Linked DNA regions of Callithrix jacchus. The main gene of each other region encodes a partner of the protein of the gene in region 2 in a complex. Links are inferred from orthologs where the notes say so. Each region holds a gene or a part of one and is shown on either strand. Other genes may lie near its edges.

Region 1 (10,524 bases), on a different chromosome or scaffold from region 2:
AATTAGAAGGGTGAACTGGGAAAAGACACCAAGAAAGTGGGTAAGGATGGAAGACCAAAATGCTTTGCACAACATTGAGACCATTAGGAGACATGACTGTGAATTGGTGAGCAGTGAAACTTTCCCCTGAGAACTGTTCTCAGCTCTGTAACATGCAAGGCAATATTCATATATCTAGGACTAGGACACAGTGACCAGCTCTGTAAAGGGAAGCAGCGGTGTTGAGTCCAATTTCTAACTCCTCCACTGGCTCACTGAGATGATGAACCACCATCTTCATTCTTCAGTGTTTAATTCTATTTGTAGATAGGTATTTTCATTTATAAACTCCCTGTCCACCTACTTTTACCCATATCAATAGCTTTAAATATTTCTCTCTAAATTTGAGACACATAGCACTATCTACCAACTCTACATTTTCACCTGGATATGTCTCTTGGACATTTCATATTTAATATCTCTAAAACCAAACTCTTGTTTTACACTCCCCAAGCTGGTTCCCCCCTATTTCAGTAAATGGTATTTCCATCCTTCCAGAAATCTTGATTTTGATCTGTCCCTCATTATCTTACATCCAATCTATCAGCAAATGTTACCAGTTCTACCTTCAAAATATATCCAGAATACAACTGCTTCTGTCAACCCCAGCTTGGCCTAAGCCAACATCATCTTTCACCAGGATGATGAATAGCCTCTCAACTATTTCCCTGCTTCTACCCTCAGCCCCTACAATATACTAAGCTAGCCTTTTGAAAAGGAAAGTCAGTCTGTGCTACATCTCTGATTAAAACCCTATACTGGGCAGAGCACAGTGGCTCATGCCTATAATCCCAGCACTTGGGGAGGTTGGGGCAGGCCAATCACGAGGTCAAGAGATTGACAGCATCCTGGCCAAGATGGTGAAACCCTGTCTCTACTAAAAATACAAAAATTAGCGGGCCATGGAGGTGTGTACCTGTAGTCCCAGCTACTCAGGAGGCTGAGGCAGGAGAATCACTTGAACCCGGGAGGCAGAGGTTGCAGTGAGCCAAGATTGCACTCCAGCCTGGCAACAGAGCAAGATTCCATCTCAAATAAAACCAAACCAAATGAAACCAAACCAAACAAAAAAAAAACGTACACTGACTTCTTATCTTATTCTAAATAACATCCAAAGTTCTCTGCATGGAATTTAAAGCTCTACACAGTTTTGTTCTAGATCTCTTTGAATTTGTCTCGTAACACAGCTCTCCTCTCTTACTTAGCTCCAGCCACAGGGCTTCCCTAGAATATGTCAGCCACTTTATCTAATTAGCATTCCATTCCAACACACTCTCTAGTCACCTGCCCTGCCTAATTTTTCTAAACAGCATCTGTCAGTACCTGACATATTTATTTTTTGTCTTGTCCCACTAGAATATGTCAGGGAGACAAGAATATGTCATGCTCCCACCCATGAGAACAGGGGTGTCATCTGTCTTCAGTTTTTTCCCCAGCACCTAGCACAAAGCTCTTACATGTAACAACAGTAATTTCTAAGTAGGAAATTCAAAGGCTTTTTCACTTCATTAAAAACAAACAAACAGGCTGGGTGCCGTGCCTCACGCCTGTAATCCCAGCACTTTGGGAGGCCGGGGCAGGCGGATCACCTGAGGTTGGGAGGTCCAGACCAGCCTGACCAACATAGAGAAACCCCATCTCTACTAAAAATAAAAGATAGCCAGGCATGGTGGCGCATGCCTGTAATCCCAGCTACTCGGGAGGCTGAGGCAGGAGAATTGCTTAAACCTAGGAGGTGGAGGTTGTGGTGAGCCGAGACAGCGCCACTGCACTCCAGCCTGGGCAACAAGAGCGAAACTCTGTCTCAAAAACAAAACAAAAATACAATCATTAGTTGGGTGTGGTGGTACATACCTGTAATCCCAGCTACTCAGGAGGCTGAGGCAGGAGAATAGTTTGAACCCAGGAGGCAGAGGTTGCAGTGAGCTGAGATCAAGCCACTGCACTCTAGCCTGGGTGACAGAGGGAGACTCCGTCTCAAAAAAGACAAAAACAAAACCAACCAACAAACAAAAAACCCCAAAACCCACCTAACCAACCAACCGAACAAAAACCAAACAAACAGGTGCAGTGGCTCACGCCCAGTACTCTGGGACTTTGGGAGGTCGAGGCAGGCAAATCACTTAAGGTACAAAGTTGGAGACCAACCTGGCAAAACCCCATCTCTACCAAAAATACAAAAACTAGCTGGGAGGGGTCGTGCATGCCTGTAGTCCCAGCTACTCAGGAGGCTAAGGCAGGAGAGAATCGCTTGAACCCGGGAGGCAGAGTTGCAGTGAGTCGAGATGACACCACTGCACTCCAGTCTGGGCAACAAATCGAGGGCCTGCCTCAAAAAACAAAAACGAAGACAAAGGAACAAACAAACATAAAACCTATTCTGATTGGTCAGACACACAGTCTTAAAATAACAAAAATACTTTTAGAATGAAGCTAGATTCCACAGCATCAATTGGGAATTTCCAGTGTAGGAAATGATGAACTAGCATGTTCAAACATACAGGCTTTACAGGTGCATCAGAATCACAAGCATGTGGCAGGGTTCATGTGCCCAAATTAAGTGAATATTCTTGCTACGTGCTCAGCAGCTTATAAACAGATGGTGACCTAGACCAGACTGCCTTGATGACTCTGCTTGGAAGAAAGGCATTACATCACTGGCTGGAGAACCTCAAGGCATATGTCTGGGCAGGTGACACACACAGCTTGGGCTGTGACTGCTAAACCACTCCCACAGCCAAACAAGGAAACCCATCTCATGACCAGCTCTCAGGGGAATTCTCCAAGCCTGACTGTCACCTCTAACTCCTCTGCCAGTTAAGGTTAAAGGGTCTGTGATCAGTTATGTTATACTCTTCAAATGTGCATTTGTTTGTCTGTTTGTTTTTGAGACAGAGTCTTGTTCCCACCCAGGCCATCTTGGCTCACTGCAACCTCCGCTTCCCGGGTTCAAACGATTCTCCAGCCACAGCCTCCCAAGGAGGTGGGACTACAGGTGTGTGCCACCATGCCTGGCTAATTTTTGTATTTTTAGTAGAAATGGGGTTTTACCCTGTTGGCCAGTCTGGTCTCGAACTCCTGACCTCAGGGGATCCTCCTGCCTCGGCTTCCCAAAGTGTTGGGATTACTGGCGGGAGCCACCACGTCCTACCTCGAATGTGCATTTCGTAAATGTTTATTCAAATAGATTCACGAATAAGGGAAGAAAATGGGATTTGTTTAAATTCAATTTCTAGGTCCAAGGCAACCTATTACCGCTGTCCCTAATACTGGACGTCCAGGTTGTCCTCAGTGCTGCTTCCTACACAGTGTCCTCAAACACCACCCCTCCCATACTGTGCCCCCACCCTGTCACCACTCCGAGCAATAACCCCCAAACTGTCAACGCCCAAAACAGCTCCCTTGTCATCGCCAAGCACTAGAGACTCCCCTTAAGTCATTCTTACTCCCAAAGACCGTTCTTGTCACCAATTCCCTATTCAGACCTCCCCTATAAACGCTCTAAGAGCCCTCAACTATCAGCCACACCCCCAAAGAGCCCTCAGAGCCATACACTATCAGCCAGACGCTTCCCGCCACAAACACTCCCGAGACCCCACTCCTGTCACCAGTTCCCCGAACATTTCTTCCTGGGGTCGCCGATATTGCTCACAGACGCCCCCGTAACCAACTTCACCGCCTCCGCAGCCTAGTAGCCCCCAGAAGGAGCCCTCCGTGACTACGTGCGGCCCCGCCCCTTGGCATAGCTTCCTGGCCAGTGGCGCCGGAAGCCCCGCCCCTGACCGGTTGCTAGGCTCCAGCAGCCGGAAGTCCCGCCTGCCGTGTAGTCGCCTCCGTCGCTGCTACCGCCGCCGCCGTTGTTGTTGTGGTCGGTACGCCGAGTTCCACGGCTCCGAGAGCCGGTTCCATCCCCTCCCCGCCGCCGCCATGAAGTGGATGTTCAAGGAGGACCACTCTTTGGGTAAGCACTTGGCCATCGGACCGGCCGCGGGGGGCCGCGGCGGCAGGTGGGCCCCCTCCCCCACTCGGGCGGCCCTGGGCCGGGTGAAGCAGGACGTATGCCGCGCTCCGGGCTCGAGCCGCCAAGGCTCCGGTGCCACGAGCAGCCGTCCCTCGACCCCGCGTCACTCTCCGCGGACCCCCCTGGGAGCTAGGGGACAGGACCGCGGCCGTGGGGACGCCGGAACGAGGGCCTGGGCTGTGCGCAAGGCGCAGGAGGAGGAGGGCCGAGGGCCCGGAACCGACCTGTGGGCAGGCGCGGCCGTCAGCCCTGTTTGTTTCTGCCACAGAACACAGATGCGTGGAGTCCGCGAAGATCCGAGCGAAATATCCTGACCGGGTTCCGGTGAGTGATTGGACTCTCCGCCCCCTCACCTCGCTGTCACCTCTGTCATCTGGGAGCCGTGATAGGCCCTAGGCCATTCAACAGTTGACAAGTTGAGGTTCCATTCCCAGTTGTAGTAGAGGACGGGCCAGACTGCGATGAGGCCGCCCAGGGCCGGGGCGTGAGGGGCTCGGGCTGGTGCTGTTCAGGGTGCCTCAGTGCTGAATCTCCGGATCTAGGCCAGCGAGAGCTGTCTGCAGCCTCGGGGCTCCCTGGCCAATTATGTAAGGAACGATGTTCTAGGACAGGGCAACAGGTCACTGCCACTTTTGGGAACGGTGGTGGAGGGAGACTGTCACTTTGGTCTTGGAAGTGGTACTTGAGTCTCAGGACCTTCACCTTTTACTTGGAGCCTCCATCTTTACCCAAATTCTGGCTCCGTTGCCTCACCTTGACCCTGTCATCCCTGCCTGACCAAAACAATGTGAGAAGCCGCTGAAAACCCTTTTCTGTTATGCTTTCTTCCTAGTCAGTAGTAAATATATTTTTTCCATGTTTGGGGAGATAGTTTTGTAATTCTTGTTAATTTTTAATGGACATTAAGGCCTGTTATTGTAGCTCTTTGCTTGTGAATAATTCCGTTGGGGGAAGGAGGGACGGATTTGAAACTTGTTCAGAGAAGAGCAACAGGCCAAATGAAGAGCTTGGTTCTTGGCTGGCTGAAATTCCAGGCATTCCCATTAGTCCATCTGTTCTTGTCTCCTGTGTTCCTTGGGAACACAGTAGTGTTTCCTGTAGTGTGAAGGGGATCCATTCTGGGGTCCTGGAGTAATGGGCTATGGATGTGGATCCCCACATATTCTTAGGTCTGCCCAGATAAAATGTGGAAAAGCTTAGTAGTAAGGGCTGCATTTTTCTTACATAACTGACCACAGAAAAGCACTTACCGTTTCCCTATAACCCATTTATATCAATTCTTAACCTCCAGAGCATGTGGTTATTAAGCCAAAGACATATTTTCTCCTGCTATGCAGTTTCCCACCCACCTCCTTGCCCACACTCTGTTCCTCAGCTCCTCAGCCTTGAGGCCAGAGCCTGGCTTTAGAAACCCAGTCCTGACCTCTCTTTATTTTCCCAGGTGATTGTGGAAAAGGTCTCAGGCTCTCAGATTGTTGACATTGACAAACGGAAGTACTTGGTTCCATCTGATATCACTGTGGCTCAGTTCATGTGGATCATCAGGAAAAGGATCCAGCTTCCTTCTGAAAAGGCGATCTTCCTGTTTGTGGATAAGACAGTCCCACAGTCCAGGTGAGAGGTGTTTACTAGATGGGTCCTCTGGTGTTAGACATCTGGTTGGCTGCTTAGAGAACTCAAAAACTTTGGAGGTCTGAAAACTCTTGGGGGTTCTGACTAGAAATCTGGATTTTGTGCTCCCTGACATCAGGGGCTCCAGGAAAATAACGGCTGCAATACATAAGGGTGCATTTTAGATTCGGAAAATAGAACAAGGCCTGGACTTCTAAAAAAGGGATGAAACTCAGCCTGAGACCTCCAAGAATCTTTTAAAACATTGAGGACTTATTTAGGCTTAAGCCATAGGTAGAACTGATGCCTGAAATGAGGTTTTCTTCCCTGAAGACAGTCTGGCCACTCTCCTCCACTGGGAACCTGTGGGTTCTGCTGAGGCTTACTCAGTTAATCAAGCGGTTTGCGTGCTCCCAAACTTCGTCAGCTCTCTGCCATTGTAAGAGTCTATAGCTGTCTGATCCTCAAGTCTGACAAAATGACTGCAGCACAGTAAAGGGCTCTGAAGTCTCTTTACAGACTTAAACCTTCCTTGGTAGCACCTGCTTTGACTGTCAGACTATGGTGCTGCCTGGAAGCAGTCTTTGGGAGTGTAACTTGCAGCCCGAATGTAGGCAGGGGCATTAGAATTTCCATTTTCTGTGTATTTGACAGCCCAGCTTTAGTCCCCTCTGGAATGAGGAAAATGGACAGGCTCCGTCTAAGCTCCTGGTCAGTCCTTTCCTGTTACTGAGTGGGTAGTTCTAGGCTCTGATCCAGATTCTGGCCCTCACCTCTCCCCTGAGTGTGAGTTCCTGGCCACATCTTACCTTAGTGACCCAAAGTAGGTTTCATTTACCACCCCCAGAAGTAATACTTCTAAAAGTGAAGGCTTTCAGAAGCCCTGGGAACTAGCCCAATGTTGCCCAGATAGGTTCCTGTTGAAAATCCTTGAAGACTTCCTAAGAGGCCCGTGCCAAATTCCAGACTTTATTTCTGTTAAAGGTGGAAAGCTCTGGCTATTTTTTGGTCTGATTACCTGTTTCCCAGTCTCTACCACCTCCACTTCCTGGTGTCTGGTAGAAAGGCAGGGGAGAAATGGAAGCTCCTTCCCTAAGGCCAGTGTCCAACCTGAGGAGATAGCCCAGGGCCTGCCCACTGGACACCATTGGTCTGCTGCAGCTGTAGCTCTGGAAGCTGTGGTGTTGCTTGAGGTGATTTTGTCATCCATGGGGCTCTTCCAACCTTCCTTCCCAGGCCTCAGGGCTATCTTCACGAGAGGAGGAAGCCTTGGGCATTCATAGTTACCCTGGGCTTTCCTTAAGGTGACTGGGGAAGTAATCTTTTATACCATCTGCAATTTCTGCAGAGCCTTGGTGACCCTGTGTTTTCTCCTTCCCAGAGGTGGTCGCTTAGTGGAAGTAAGTGACTAGGACCTATGGCATTAAGTTTATTTTCCTCAATTCTGATTCTCTGGTTCTTCTCAAAGGAAATGAAGCAGGCTTCTGGAGACCTTATGATTACTCTGATGGCTCCACAGTAATCTAGCAATTAAAATGACTACAGTCTTATCAACTGTCCCCTCCCCCATTTTCCCTGAGATATAAATAGAATTGGAAATTAAAAATGATTTTTCAGGGCAGCAGAGACTGTTTCAAGGCCATTTTCTTTTTTTTCTCCTTTTTTTTTCAAGGCCATTTTCTCTCCAAGTCCCATTTGCCTTTCCAGTGTGGCGAGAACCTTAAAGCAGATTACACTAGTAACTGTAGTTAGGATTTTAGGTCGGAGTAACCAGAAATCCAAATCCTCACCCTTCAGGATTTAGAGTCCCCAGCCAGGGCCCTTTTGCCCAGCCCATCAGCTCCTTTGGCCCCAGTTAATGACTTGTCTCCTTACACTTAATGCAACTGTTCATTCTGGGGTTTTATTCTCAAAAACCATTCTGTTTTTCTGAGACGGAGTCTCACTGTTGCCCAGGTTGGAGTGCAATGGTGCAATCTCAGCTCACTGCAACCTGTGCTTCCTAGGTTCAAGTGATCCTCCCACCTCAGCCTCCCTAATAGCTGGGACCACAGGTGTGTGCCACCACACCCAGCTAAAAATACAAATTTGTGTCTAAACAAAGGAGGCCATGTGACATCATTGGGCTTTATGCAAATTAATACTCCAAAGCAGCATAAACGAAAATACCACAGGATCCTTCCTAAAGCTGGCTGTAACTCCCCTTCACCATCTCTTCCCCAAGACAGTTTAGCTGCCTCTTCCTCAGGTCTTTCCAGCCTCTTTAGAGAAACATGGAGCCTCCCTTAACCTTCATGCAGTGCTTGCTGGTTTCAAAGGGTGGCTGGGGAAATTAGAGAAAGGACGAATTCAAGCCTGCACAAGCCCTCCCTCTCTGGTGACTGACTGGTATGCATGAAGATCAATTATGGCTGAGGATGAAGGGGAGTAACTTCTCATTTATTTCTGCCTTTCAGTAGAAAACAGGCAGTCACTATGTAAAGTGTCATGATTTTTTTTTTCTTTTTTTAAAAAAAAAAAATTTACAAAAAATTTTTTTTTTTTAATTTAAAGACGGGGTTTCAGCATGTTGGTCAGGCTGGTCTTGAACTCCCGACCTCAGGTTATCCGCCTGCATTGGCCTCCCAGAGTGCTGGGATTAGAGGGTTGAGCCACCGCACCCGACCCAAGTGTCATGATTTTTATTGAGAGTTGTTACTATTAAATATTAATTATTTAAATAGAGACATAGGTAAGTCCCTAAGTTTTACTTCCTAAATTCTAAGTTCTTGTTTCTTTTAAAAAAGGAGGAATCACAGTGGCCTTTTCCCATTTAGCACTGGAAAGTTGAATTGTCTGCGCAGGTGCCTGCATCAAGAATCAGGCCAAAACAGGAAGGGGAACTTTGTGCAGACAGAACTTTAGAAACAACGTCAGTGTACAAGTTTCCTAGTCATGGCCTTAGAGAGGAACTCGGACCTGGCATTGTATGGTCTTTGTTGGTTGAGAACCTAGATAAGAGTCGTCTTAATCCTCTGTTTAAAATAGAAACAGGAGTATATCATTAAATAAAAGATCTCTAAGATACTGGTTTTTTGTTGTTGTTGAGACAAGGCCTTGCTCTGTCACCCTGGCTGGAGTGCAGTGGTGCAGTCAGAGGTCACTGCAACATTGAACTCCTGGGCTTGAGCAATCCTCCCACCTCACCAGGGTGGTCTCAAACTCCTGGCTACGAGTGACCTCCTGTCTTGGCCTCTTAGAGTGCTGGGATTATGGGTATTAGCCACCATGCTTGGCCAGGTATTATAATTTGAGATTGAGACACCTGTGCTGTTTAACAATCTGGTGTTTAGTTGCTTGTTGATCTTAAAGAGATCTTAAGTAAGAGGAAGTTGTGATGTCTTAGATATGGAAAGTGGTTTTCAGGGCAACAGAGTCTGCTTCAAGGCCATTTTCTCTCCAAGTCCCATTTGCCTTTCCAATCTGCTGAGAATCCACCCTAAGGCAGATTATACCAGTAACCCAAGTCAGGATTTTAGGACAGAGTAACCAGAAATCTAAGTCCTGACCCATCAGGCCCCAATTAATGACTTCTTACCCCACACGTATTCATCCTTTATTTAGAAATGTGCTTAAAGCACTTTGATCATTTCTGGGTAAATACCACTTTAAGGCAGGACATTTTTTTTTTTTTTTGAGACGGAGTTTTGCTCTTTTTGTCCAGGCAGGAGTGCAGTGGCATGATCTCGGCTCACCACAACCTCCGACTCCCAGGTTCAAGTGATTTTTCTGCCTCAGCCTCCTGAATAGCTGGTATTACTGGCTCCTGCCACCATGACTGGCTAATTTAAAAAACATTTATAGTAGAGATGGGGTTTCACCATGTTGTCCAGGCTGGTCTTGAACTCCTGACCTCAGGTGATCCACCCTCCTTGGCCTCCTGAAGTGCTGGGATTACAGATGTGAGCCACTGGACCCGGCCTAGTTGTTCCTTTTGATCAGATTTTTCTGATACAAACAGATCGTGTCCTAGGCTGGGTATGGTGGCTCACACCTGTAATCCCAGCACTTTGGGAGGCCAAGGTCAGCAGATTACCTAAGGTCAGCCTGGCCAACATGATGAAACCCCATCTCTACTAAAAATACAAAAAAAATTAGCCGGGTGTGGTGGTGGGTGCCTGTAATCCCAGCTACTTGGGAGGTTGAGGCAGGAGAGTCGTTTGAACCTGGCAGGCGGAGGTTGTGGTGAGCCAAGATCCCACCACTGTACTGGGTGACAAGAGCAGAAGTCCATCTCAAAACCAAAACAAAGAAAAAAACAACAACCAGTGGTTAGTCTTTATAGAATCTTGGGGGGTCAAGGCCTTATTAACTTTTAAGTGTGAAGCCAGTGCCTCTGCAGGATTCACAGCAGTGGTCATTGCCCTTCCACCTCCTGCCACCTATCCTTTCCTGCTGGAGAAGAGATAATCCAAGGTCCAGTGGAATCACATGGGCTCCAAAGCAGATGGGTGGCCAAGTGTGCTCATCAGTCCAGCCAATTCATGAGTCAGTATAGATCCCACAGCCTCCATGACCTGCCCTGGGTTGGGGCAAAGGCAAGTTCTCTAAGGATTGGGCATTCACACAGTTTTAGGTCAGCCTGTCCCAATGCATAGAGCTGTTGAGTAGCATAAAACTACTGTTGAGTAGCATAAAACTTGAGTCACATGGCCATTCCTGGATGTGGGTCCTGCTGCACCTTTCCTTTTATTGCATAGTTTCTCCACTGGAGAAGAGGTTTTATCTGGATCTTTGTGAGTCTCTAATAGAGGGGTGGGAGAGAGAGCTTCAGGGGGCAATTTAAGTTCATTTTCACATGGTACTTCACCTTA
Region 2 (10,300 bases):
GTGACACCCACTGCTTGCTCCAGCCTGTTGTAGCTTCTGCCCTGCCCCTGGGTTGGGCCTTTCAAGAGAGCTGAAAATAGGATCTTAATGAGAAATCTCCCAGTGTTGGCCAAATAAAACCTGAAACAGAAGGCATCTCTGTTTGATTCCAAATCAGTTTCCCCACAAGGCGAGGCCAACTCTGCCCTGAGTTCTCCCACCTGCCCACACCCTTATGTTCTCTGGAAATTCCCACTCAAAAGCCAGAACTCCCGGTTTAGACATTTTAATATGGATGTTTTGTTTTTAGATACTATTCCCGTTAGCTTATTCATACCATGTCACCTACAAATATGAAAAAATATTTCATGACTAGAATGATACCCAAAATTATTTAAACAATTATCAGGGGACTAGTGCCATCCAGTGACATGGCCCCTCTGAATGAGGAGGGTGGCAGGGGGGGGTGTGAAGAGATTCAAGGACTTGAATTTCCACCCCACTCAATTGGGATCCAGCTCCCAACTTTGCTGCCCCCTCCCCAAAGGCCCAAGTTGCCCCATATCTGGAACTCATCCGGTGGCACTACAGGCCAGCAACACCTTACCTTCCCTGCCCTCATTCAGGCAAAGGTCCAGGGCAGTTTGCTCCCATAGCCCATGGTATCCATCTGGGAAGAATGAAGGGTGATGGCACAATCCACAGCTAAGTGTATAACTGGGAATTATGGAGACACAAATCATTTCTCTCCCATACTCTCTTCCCATTTTTTTATAAACAAAAGATCTCATTATTGTCTGATTTCACCATCTCCTGAAGGCCCTGTGTCCTCCAAAGACTGAAGCTCTAAATGAGAATCTTCTGGGTCCTCTCTATTAAGAGCTATCTGCCCTCCCAGGGGAGGGAAGCAAATCCCTCAGGGCCCCCAGAGTTCCTGCACCCCATATCATGGGTGGGTCTCATGGGGCACAACGTCACCTGTCACCATGGAGAGGCTTAAGCTGCACTCAGAGCTCCCCCCGGGCATGCCGAATATAGTGTTGATGCAGCCCTGCTTCCTGAGCAAAGTCCTGACCACACTCTGTGCAGGCGAAGGTGCCAGGAGGGGCTCGGGCCTCATGCATCTGGCGGTGCCGCCTCAGAGAAGCAGCCTGCCCAAAGGTCTTGCCACAGTCAGGACAAGGGAAGATGGGTTGCGCAGTAGTGGTTGCAACCGGTTGGGTGGGCTTGACGGCTGGACCATGGCTGCGCTGGTGGGTGATCAGGGCTTTGGAAGAGGGGAAGGAGCGGGCGCAGGTGAAACAGATGAAGAGGACCCCCTGCAGCTTCTGGGCCACGAAATCCGCTGGGTGTTCCCGCTTCATGTGACGCTCCTGGAACTTGGAATCTGCGAAGGTGATGAGGCAGCGGGTGCACTTCGGGGCCCCCAGGTGGCCTGAGGGATGTGGGAAGAGGTCAGGGGAGGCCAGTGGGAGTCTCCAGGACCTCTCCTGAGCCCCAGAATCACACCAGCAATTAACATTGAGTGTGCTGTGTGCTAGGTTCTGTGCTAATGCTGGACGACCACACAGGAGAACTGTTCTTGGACTCATTTTATGGATGAACAAACTGAGATTCAAAGAGATTAGGAGGCTGAGGTGGGTGAGTTCAGGAGTTCAAGACCAGCCTCAGCAACACAGTAAAACCCCGTCTCTACTAAAATACAAAAAATTAGCTGGGCATGGCGGTATTCACCTGTAGTCCCAGCTACTCAGGAGGCTGAGGCAGGAGAATTCCTTGAACTTGGGAGGCAGATGTTGCAGTCAGCCGATATCATGCCACTGCACTCCAGCTTGAGTGACAGAGTGAGACTCCATCTCCCAAAAAAAAAGAGGTTAGGCAAGTTGCCCATAGTCATGAGGCTAGGAAAAGAAATGGTGGAGCCCAGAGTCAGCCAGCCCAATAGAGGGGTACGGTGATTACAGCCTAATGTTTGGAGCCAGACCGCTCCCCCACTTCCTAGACACAATCACACCAGTTTCTTTATCTGGAAAATGCACTAATAACAGCATCTATTCCATAGGACCACTGGAAGGAATAACTGAATTGCTATGTAGTCCTTTGCAATGGTGACTAATGATACAGACAATGTAGCTCGACACCCAGGATCAGCTCTGGAACTCACAGCTAGACCTTGGTGTTCTGTTGAACATAAATAATTTCTCACAACATCAAGGACAGCCAAGGCCATGCTGTGACAAGAATGAATCAAGACAAGACTACATCATCATAATGTCTGAACACAGACAAAATATGAATGCTGTCCAAGCAGACAAATGACCAACCTTCCTCCCATCCTGGCTAATGTGAATGTCCGCTGCTGCTTTATCAGTCAGAACTTGAGCCTCACCTTCTTCCTTCCCCCTTCTGCATAAGATTTATTAAAATAGCCAATCACAGAATTGCCCCTGCTTCCTGGTGGCATCCAATCCAGAGCCACCCAACACTTTTGCTGGAACCTTTTCCAAAACCACCCCCCACAAGCCCAAATCCTATGTCGTTTTTAACACTTAGTGAGTCACTCCACAGTTCTCCATGGTGTGTGTTCTTCATTGCACTGAGCCATAAACCCAATGTGTTCAACTGCGGGTGTGTTCCTGGTAGTCTCTGGCTCAAGGGCATTGAGACTACAGCTCTTGTTAGAAATACCTTTCTCTGCCTCAGTTCCCAGTTTAAAGGGCCTATTATTCGAAGGACTGAATGAGATAATGAATGTTAAAATCATTCATTAAGAATAAATACACGCAGCACATAATAAAACATTGAGCAGGAGATACTGCTATTACATATCAAACTGGCTACCATCATTAACACCCAGCTGTCCCCTTTGCTGCAGTTAATCCCATAACCACCCTGTAAGGTGGGTAGTGCCAGCCTCTTTTGACAGACTGGGAGACCAAGGCCCAAGTTACACTGAAAGTCTAGGGCAGAGTCAGCACTAGGATCTTGGGGCTTCTCTCCCAGTAAAACTATTCTTAGCCACATCTCCAACCCAAGCCTCTCCTGGAAGCCACCTTATCCCTCTGAATGCATAAGCATCGCAATCTTGCTTATGCGGCCAGAGGAGGGTGAGTACTCTGGCCACAAAAGCAGGTGTGAGGAGAGGCACTTCCTTCTGGAGCAGCTTATGGGCCATTACAGCACCTTCTCGACAGACAAAACTCTGTGGCGCCTTGGACACTAAAGTGCCACAGAGATCTTAGCGTCACTCCTGCATCCCACCCTCCTCTAGCCAGCCAGCCATGTGTACTCACAGATGTTGCCTCCTGGGCTCTGGGGACTTATGTCCTTGGGTGAATCCTGCTGCTCCATGTTCTCTTCAGGGTTCGGGTCCTCCATGGTGCTGGGACCCTTCTAGTCAAGAGAGGAGCGTGCATAAGTGAAGCTGTTCATCTGTTACCAGCAGAGGGCACCCTAAGTCTATGACCTTTGACATCGCCAGAGGCTCTCCTTGCCTGCCTTTGACCCCCACGACATACTCTCCTTGAACTCTAATTGGTGGAGTTCTTTTTAAGAGAAGCTTCAAATCTCCCAAAAGACTGGACTTCCCGGGTTTGGGACTCCCCTAGAGTCTTCTCACTGGTGTGACCTATGACCTGCTGCATCAAACTCACTGAACTCAGCCTGGGAGCCTTTATCTTTGACACCAGCGTCATCCCAGTCTCGAGTGTCTTGGGGCAAGTAGTGATACCCACCCTTTATCCCAGTTCTTCCCGGGAAACATCCTCTGACATCCTGTGATTTTTGTTCCGCCCAGAGCCCGCGCCGCGCTTGCAGCCACTATCCCGCTACCCGCAAGCGCTGCCTACAGGTTCCTGCTCCCAGGCCTCTGTTTTCCTTCGTACAGCAGAGGGCTGCCTTTCGCTGCGCCTGTCAGTCTCTCGCCACAGCGCCGCCACCCAGAGAGAAGTGGAATAGGGCCCACTCAGTCTCAGGGTCCCCCGTGGTTTGCGCCCTTTCGCCACATGAGTCTCTCGGAGCCGAGAGCCCGGATTTGCCATCCGGCAATAGTACAGTCGCACCAGCCCGGTGCTGAAAATAACGGGAGAGGTCCTTTTCTGCACTAGGGCGCGTTATGATGACGTTTAGCCCCCTGTGCCGTAGATACCTAAGCTTTTTGCGTCTGAATGAGTAGGCGCTCGTGGCGCGCAGGCGCGTTGACTCCCTCATTGTTCTAGGTTCTGAGGCCGCGGAAGAGGGGCGTGCGCACTTTGGCCGTTCTGCGCAGGCGCTGCGAAGGTCTGGTTCTCTGCAGTCTCGCTTCCAAGACACACCCCCTTGGTTGAGTGAGTGACGTCAGGTTAAAGCCAACGGGACGCGTCCCGGCATCTCTAAATCACGGCGTTCTGGCCTCTTCGGCCTCCGTCCACCGCGGCTTAGTGTCGAGCTTCTCCGCGACTGACCCACTGCCACCGACTGCACGCTCCCGTGGGTCGGCTCTGCTCGGTTGGTGATTTGGAAGGCGGAGAGGGGGAGGATAAAAACAACAGTGTGTCCGAGGGAGGAGGGACTGGAAGCCAAATTTCTGAGGTTTTATTTTTATTTATTTATTTTTGAGAGAGGGCCTTCATGGCCCACTGCAGCCTCCAAATCCTGAGCTGAAGCGACCCTCCCACCGCAGCCTTCCGAGTAGCTGGGGCTACAGGCGTGCGCCACCACTCCCGGCTAAATTTTATTTTTTTATAGGGACAGGGACTCTACCAGCGAGTCCCACATGTTACCCAGGCTGGTCTCGAATTCCTGGCCTCAAGCGATCCTCCCGCCTCGGCCTCCCAAAGCGCTGGGATTACAGGCATGAGCCACCGCCCCTGATTTTTGAGTTTTTGAAGCAGAAGGGGAAACGTTTCCATCTAGAAAGAGGGTGGGCAGACAGGATGCCTGGGATCCCGGGGGAATAGCGTCTGGGCTCTGGCTTTTTAGGTCCCGGAGAATGACGCTCAAGAATCGAAGGGGACAGAGTGGAGGATTGAGTCCTGGGTTCCGGGTGGGGCGGCTAGGAAAGACAAAGGCCAGGTGTTCACTGACCCGGGTCTTCTCCACCCGTTGCTTTCCAGCCATGCCTCCGCCGCAGGGTGACGTGACCGCCTTATTCCTCGGGCCTCCGGGCTTGGGAAAGTCTGCGCTGATCACAGCGCTGTGCGACAAGGATGTGGAGACCCTCGAGGCCCCTGAGGGACGGCCGGACTCTGGGGTCCCCAGCCTGAGAGCTGCGGGCCCGGGCCTTTTTCTGGGCGAGCTGAGCTGTCCACCCGCAGCGCCGGGGCCCTGGGCGGCGGAAGCCAACTTGCTGGTACTGGTGCTGCCGGGACCTGAGGGCAACGGCGAACCCTTGGCCCCAGCCCTGGGAGAGGCAGCGCGGGCCGCCCTGGCCCGAGGGACGCCGCTACTGGCTGTGCGGAACCTCCGTCCTGGGGATTCACAGAATGCCACCGAGGCCCGTGATCAGACTGCAGCTCTGCTGAACAGCGCTGGGTTAGGAGCCGCGGATCTGTTTGTGCTACCGGCGAACTGTGGCAGCTGCGACGGCTGTGAGGAGCTAGAGCGCCTCCGGGTGGCACTGCAGAGCCAGGCAGAAGCGCTGAGGAGGTGAGTGCCGGCTTTCTGGCTGGGTCCCTTAGTTGGGACCCTACGCACCTAGGTCCTTTTTGAGGTCCGTGAGATCCCTCCCCCACTGGTTTTGAGGCAAAGCTTAACTCTATTATTGTATATTTTTTTCCGTCAAAGACAGGATCTCGCTATGTTGGCTAGGTTGAATTTGAACTCTTGGCCTTAAACAATACTCCCGCCTCAGCCTCCCAAAGTGCTAGGATTACAGTCGAGAGCCACCATACCCAGTCTTTTTTTGAGACAGGATGGAGTGCAGTGGCACAATCCTAGCTCACTGAGGGCCTCCACCTCCTGGGCTCAAATGATCCTTCTGCCTCAGCCTCCAGAGTAGCCAGTACTACAGGCTACAAAATAGGATCTCACTGCTTCCCCAGGCTGGTCTTGAACTCCTGGCCTCAAGCCACGCTCCCACCCAGGCTTCCCAGAGCCCTAGGATTAGAAGGGAAGGGCTTAACACTTTATTTGTTGGGGCCCTGAGGCTCATTTTTCCAGTCCCTGGCCCAACCAAGGTGATCTGCCTGCCTTGACCTCCCAAAGTGCTGGAATGACAGGCATGAGACACTGTGCCCAGCCCCCTGGAAGATTTTACCTGAAAATGATAATCCTTGAGCCGTCTCCACCATTAGCTTGGTTTTCAAGCGACCTCGGTTGCCCTAAAGCCATACTCGCAATGAGTGTTATTATTAAATATATTATTTTATTCATTTATTTGAGATGGCGTCTTACACTGTTTCCTGGGCTAGACTGCAAAGGTGCGATATCGGCTCATTACAACCTCTGCCTCCTGGGTTCCAGCTATTCTGCTTCAGCCTCTCACGTAGCTGGGATTACAGGCACCCGTCACCATGCCCGGCTATTTTTTTTCTCTCCTTTTTTGGGGGTATTTTTGGTAGAGACGGGGTTTCACTATGTTGGCCAGCCTGGTCTCAAACTCCTGACCTCACAATCCGCCCACCTTGGCCTCCCAAACTGCTGGGATTACAGGCGTGAGCCACGGCGCCTGGCCACTGAGCATTATTTGGGGGCGTCCTCATCCACCTCCTTTCTCCAGCTCCCTCTTGTTTCTGTGCCCACTTGCCAGGTACCTCCTGAATTGGCTCTCCCACCTGCCAGCCTCATCATTTTCAGACTTTAAAATGAGATTCACAGAGGCAGTTCCTTGTTCCAGTACTCTCATCTTTTTTCCTTAGCCTCACCTGCCTGGGTGACTACCTTAGCCACTCCTGCTTAGTACGAACTAGTAGATGAGATTTCTCCCTTCATTGACCCTCCTTAGGCCCAACCTCTGAAAAGAGTGCCTTTGGGGACTTTGTCTGTCTCAAATAGTACTGAGACAGACACATTTGCGGTTATTTGTTCTAGGCCCCACCCTCTTTGAGCTTTGTCCCGCCCAGCACAGCTGACCCTTGGAAAAGCCCCGCCCCCAAATACTGTATTCGGTAGAAGTCTTAGTCCAATCCCCATTTTAGGCTAGGGTGGGAAATCTGACCTTAAGCCCACCCATCCAATCATCAAGACTCCATTATTGCTTTAAGCCTCTCCCATATCATCATGGCCCCTCCCCATCTGGTTTCTATTTGCTGTGCAATCAGTCAGGCCCCTCACTTTCCCTCCGCTGCCCCACTCTGAGATTACTCGGAAAGCTCTGCCATTGTCATCATAGCCCAGTCCTTGTCACCCAGCCCCTCTTCTACCCTTGACCCTGTCCTTTCTTGTCTCCGCAGGCTCCTGCCACCGGCCCAGGATGGTTTCGAGGTGCTAGGTGCAGCAGAGCTGGAGGCTGTGCGCGAGGCCTTTGAGACCGGCGGCCTGGAGGCTGCGCTGTCGTGGGTACGCTCAGGCCTGGAGCGCCTGGGCAGTGCACGGCTAGACCTGGCCGTGGCCGGCAAGGCTGATGTGGGCCTTGTGCTGGACATGCTGCTCGGATTGGATCCTGGCGACCCAGGTGCTGCGCCTGCTTCGGTGCCCATGGGACCCACTCCCTTCCCGGCCCCAGAGCGCCCGAATGTGGTGCTCTGGACTGTGCCTCTGGATCCCGCGGGCACTGCCACCACCCCCGCTGCCACCTCCCACTCTTCGCACTACGACGCCCTCATCCTCGTCACCCCTGGGGCCCCCACTGAGAAGGACTGGGCCCAGGTCCAGGCCTTGGTGCTACCAGATGCGCCTCTCGTCTGCGTGCGCACAGACGGCGAGGGTGAGGATCCGGAGTGTGTGGGAGAAGGCAAGATGGAGAAACCCAGCGGAGAGAGCTTAAAGAATGCGGGCGGAGGGGGACTGGAGAATGCACTCAGTAAGGGAAGGGAGAAATATAGCACTGGATCGCAGAAAGCAGGCAGCAGGGAAGGTTCTGGGAAAGCTGGCAGCGAGGGTTTGCAGCAGGTTGTTGGCATGAAGAAATCGGGCGGTGGGGACTCAGAGCGGGCCGCCGCGTTAAGCCCAGAGGACGAGATGTGGGAGGTGCTGGAGGAGGCACCGCCGCCAGTGTTTCCCCTACGGCCTGGCGGACTCCCAGGGCTGTGCGAATGGATGCGGCGAGTGCTCCCCCCAGCCCAGGCAGGGGCGCTGCTGCTGGCGCTGCCACCAGCGTCTCCCAGCGCTGCCCGAACCAAGGCTGCGGCACTACGAGCCGGGGCGTGGAGGCCAGCTCTGCTGGCTAGCCTGGCGGCTGCGGCAGCACCACTCCCAGGACTGGGCTGGGCATGCGACATAGCGCTTCTGCGGGGTCAGCTGGCCGAATGGCGACGGGGCCTAGGGCTGGAACCCGCGGCGCTGGCTCGACGTGAGCGCGCTCTGGGCCTGGCTCCTGGTGAGCTGGCAGCGCGTGCTCGTTTCCCAGGCCCAGTGACGCGCGCTGAGGTGGAAGCAAGGCTGGGCGCGTGGGCGGGTGAGGGCACTGCTGGGGGCGCAGCACTGGGCGCGCTCTCCTTCCTGTGGCCTGCTGGTGGCGCAGCGGCGACAGGTGGCCTGGGCTACCGAGCGGCTCATGGCGTCCTGCTGCAGGCACTCGATGAGATGCTGGCTGATGCTGAGGCCGTGCTGGCACCCCCTGAGTCTGCACAGTGAGGGGTGGGATGGGGGCTAGACTCCCCCAAGTTTCACCTCAAGGGGAGGGGGCTTGGGAATCCAGATTCTGGCAGGGGTTGTCTGGGCTTAATTCTGGGTGCTTGAAGGGGAGGTGGACTCTGACATCTAGCTGGGATATGTGATTTCTCATCACCTGGATTCAGAGAGTCTAGAGGACAGGAATCCTGATTTCTTTGGTAACTATGGGGCATGACATCCAGACCCTTCAGTACTGAAGGGAGTTGGTGGCCAGGACTCTGGAAGGGACTATGTCTTTGTCTCCCAGGGAGTAGAAACTGGAGTTATTGGATGTTTAGTCCTCCAGTGGAGGAGGGTAGAAGTCCTGTTTCCTAATTGGTGGGGAGATGTCCATGACTGGGATTTGAGCTCCAGTATAGGGGTGGGAGACCTGAGCACCCCAGGGAACTGAAACTCATGGGCTTCAGAGCCTCAGGGAAACAGGGTCTACATTTCTCTTGGAGAAAAAGCCTGTACACAGGTCCCCAAGGAGCAGTGGGCTTTGAATCTTTATGGGGTTGAGGAGGCCTCTGGGGTCTTGGCCTCCTGGGTTCCAAGATGGCTGGGGACCTTGGTTCCTAATTCTTGGGTCTGGGGAGGTCTGCATCTGGAGGAGGGATTGAGGGCTTGTGGGAGAAAGCTGGAGACCTCTTGATCACTCCTGGGGAGTAGATGGGTTTCTACTAATTGCCCTCCAAAAGTCTGTTTGTAGAGACAGTGGTCCCACAAAAATGAGGTGAGGTACGTAAGAGATCTGGGCAGGGTGGGCTCTGAGAGTAGCTGGGGACCAGGAATGAGGCCTTCTGGGTGTGAAAGGGCAGGAAAGCAAACCTCAGAGATAGAGCTCCTGCAGACCTTGTGTTGGGATCCCAGCAACTGCCTCTGTGAGTGTGACTGGGAAGGGATGTAACTGCCTTCACTTTCTAGGTGCAGAGCAATTCAGGTGATCTCTGGGGAGTCTGTTCCTGTGTCTCTTTTCTTTAGGGGTTTCTATCTGTTTTTGGCCTCGGTTTCTCCTGTCATTTAACCATAACCTTTTCTGACCTTGGTGTTTTGTGCACCTTCCTTTTTGGAAGAGCAGCTGTACTCCTGCACTGGTCCCAACACTTCTGTGTGGCTACCTCAGGTATCTCCAAGAGGCTCTGCTTTCTGGTGTACATAGAGGGTGCTGCATTGAGCCAGGGGCTCACCAAATGGGTGGGCAGGCATTCAAGACCATGGGAATATGCCAGGAGTGAGTGAAGCAAAGGCAGAAACCATGGTGCCTGGAATGTTCTAGGCCGCTAGCTATATGTAGGGGGAAAGCTGCAGATTACAGAATTTTTCAGCGTCAGAAACAGAAAAGGAGGATCTGAAAATCCAAACGAAGTCCAGTTAGGGGCGGCTTGAGGCCCAACAGCACACAGTAAGGCCCTGCAGGTCTGGCCCTTGCCTGTTCTCATTCCCTGCCCCTTCCCACCCCCATCAGCCTGATAGGCTTTCCGTTTTTTTTTTTTGAGATGGAGTTTTGCTCTGTTGCCCGGGCTGAAGTGCAGGGACATGATCTCCGCTCACTTCAAGCTCAGCCTCCTGAGTAGCTGAGATGACAGGC

Evidence for each region. The genes of interacting proteins can lie anywhere in the genome.
Region 1: the proteins of IRGQ (region 2) and GABARAPL2 are in contact, whole or in part, in a crystal structure (PDB 8Q6Q), measured with the Homo sapiens proteins. The link is inferred for Callithrix jacchus from reciprocal best matches to the Homo sapiens genes IRGQ and GABARAPL2. Residues at the interface, in NP_001007562.1 of Homo sapiens: Asp7, Thr9, Leu11, Pro47, Leu49, Phe57, Pro70, Trp71, Glu74, Pro181, Ala182, Gln183, Asp184, Gly185, Phe186, Glu187, Val188, Leu189; in NP_009216.1 of Homo sapiens: Ser10, Glu12, His13, Cys15, Val16, Glu17, Ala19, Lys20, Ile21, Ala23, Lys24, Tyr25, Arg28, Pro30, Lys46, Lys48, Tyr49, Leu50, Val51, Pro52, Phe60, Ile63, Arg67, Phe104.

Annotation. Positions count from the first base shown.
Region 1 is NC_133521.1:32,968,591-32,979,114, forward strand, and holds the start of GABARAPL2 (gamma-aminobutyric acid receptor-associated protein-like 2), read left to right. Parts: upstream 1-3,857; 5' UTR 3,858-3,966; coding exon 3,967-4,000; intron 4,001-4,328; coding exon 4,329-4,384; intron 4,385-5,501; coding exon 5,502-5,674; intron 5,675-10,524. UniProt on the Homo sapiens protein: Ubiquitin-like modifier involved in intra-Golgi traffic. Modulates intra-Golgi transport through coupling between NSF activity and SNAREs activation. It first stimulates the ATPase activity of NSF which in turn stimulates the association with GOSR1.
Region 2 is NC_133523.1:38,085,194-38,095,493, reverse strand, and holds the start of IRGQ (immunity-related GTPase family Q protein), read left to right. Parts: upstream 1-4,174; 5' UTR 4,175-4,257; intron 4,258-4,378; exon of another isoform or gene 4,379-4,548; intron 4,549-5,072; 5' UTR 5,073-5,074; coding exon 5,075-5,604; intron 5,605-7,349; coding exon 7,350-8,691; 3' UTR 8,692-10,300. Other genes in the region: ZNF576 (zinc finger protein 576), read right to left, coding at 987-1,414, 3,273-3,357. UniProt on the Homo sapiens protein: Autophagy receptor that specifically promotes clearance of misfolded MHC class I molecules by targeting them to the lysosome for degradation.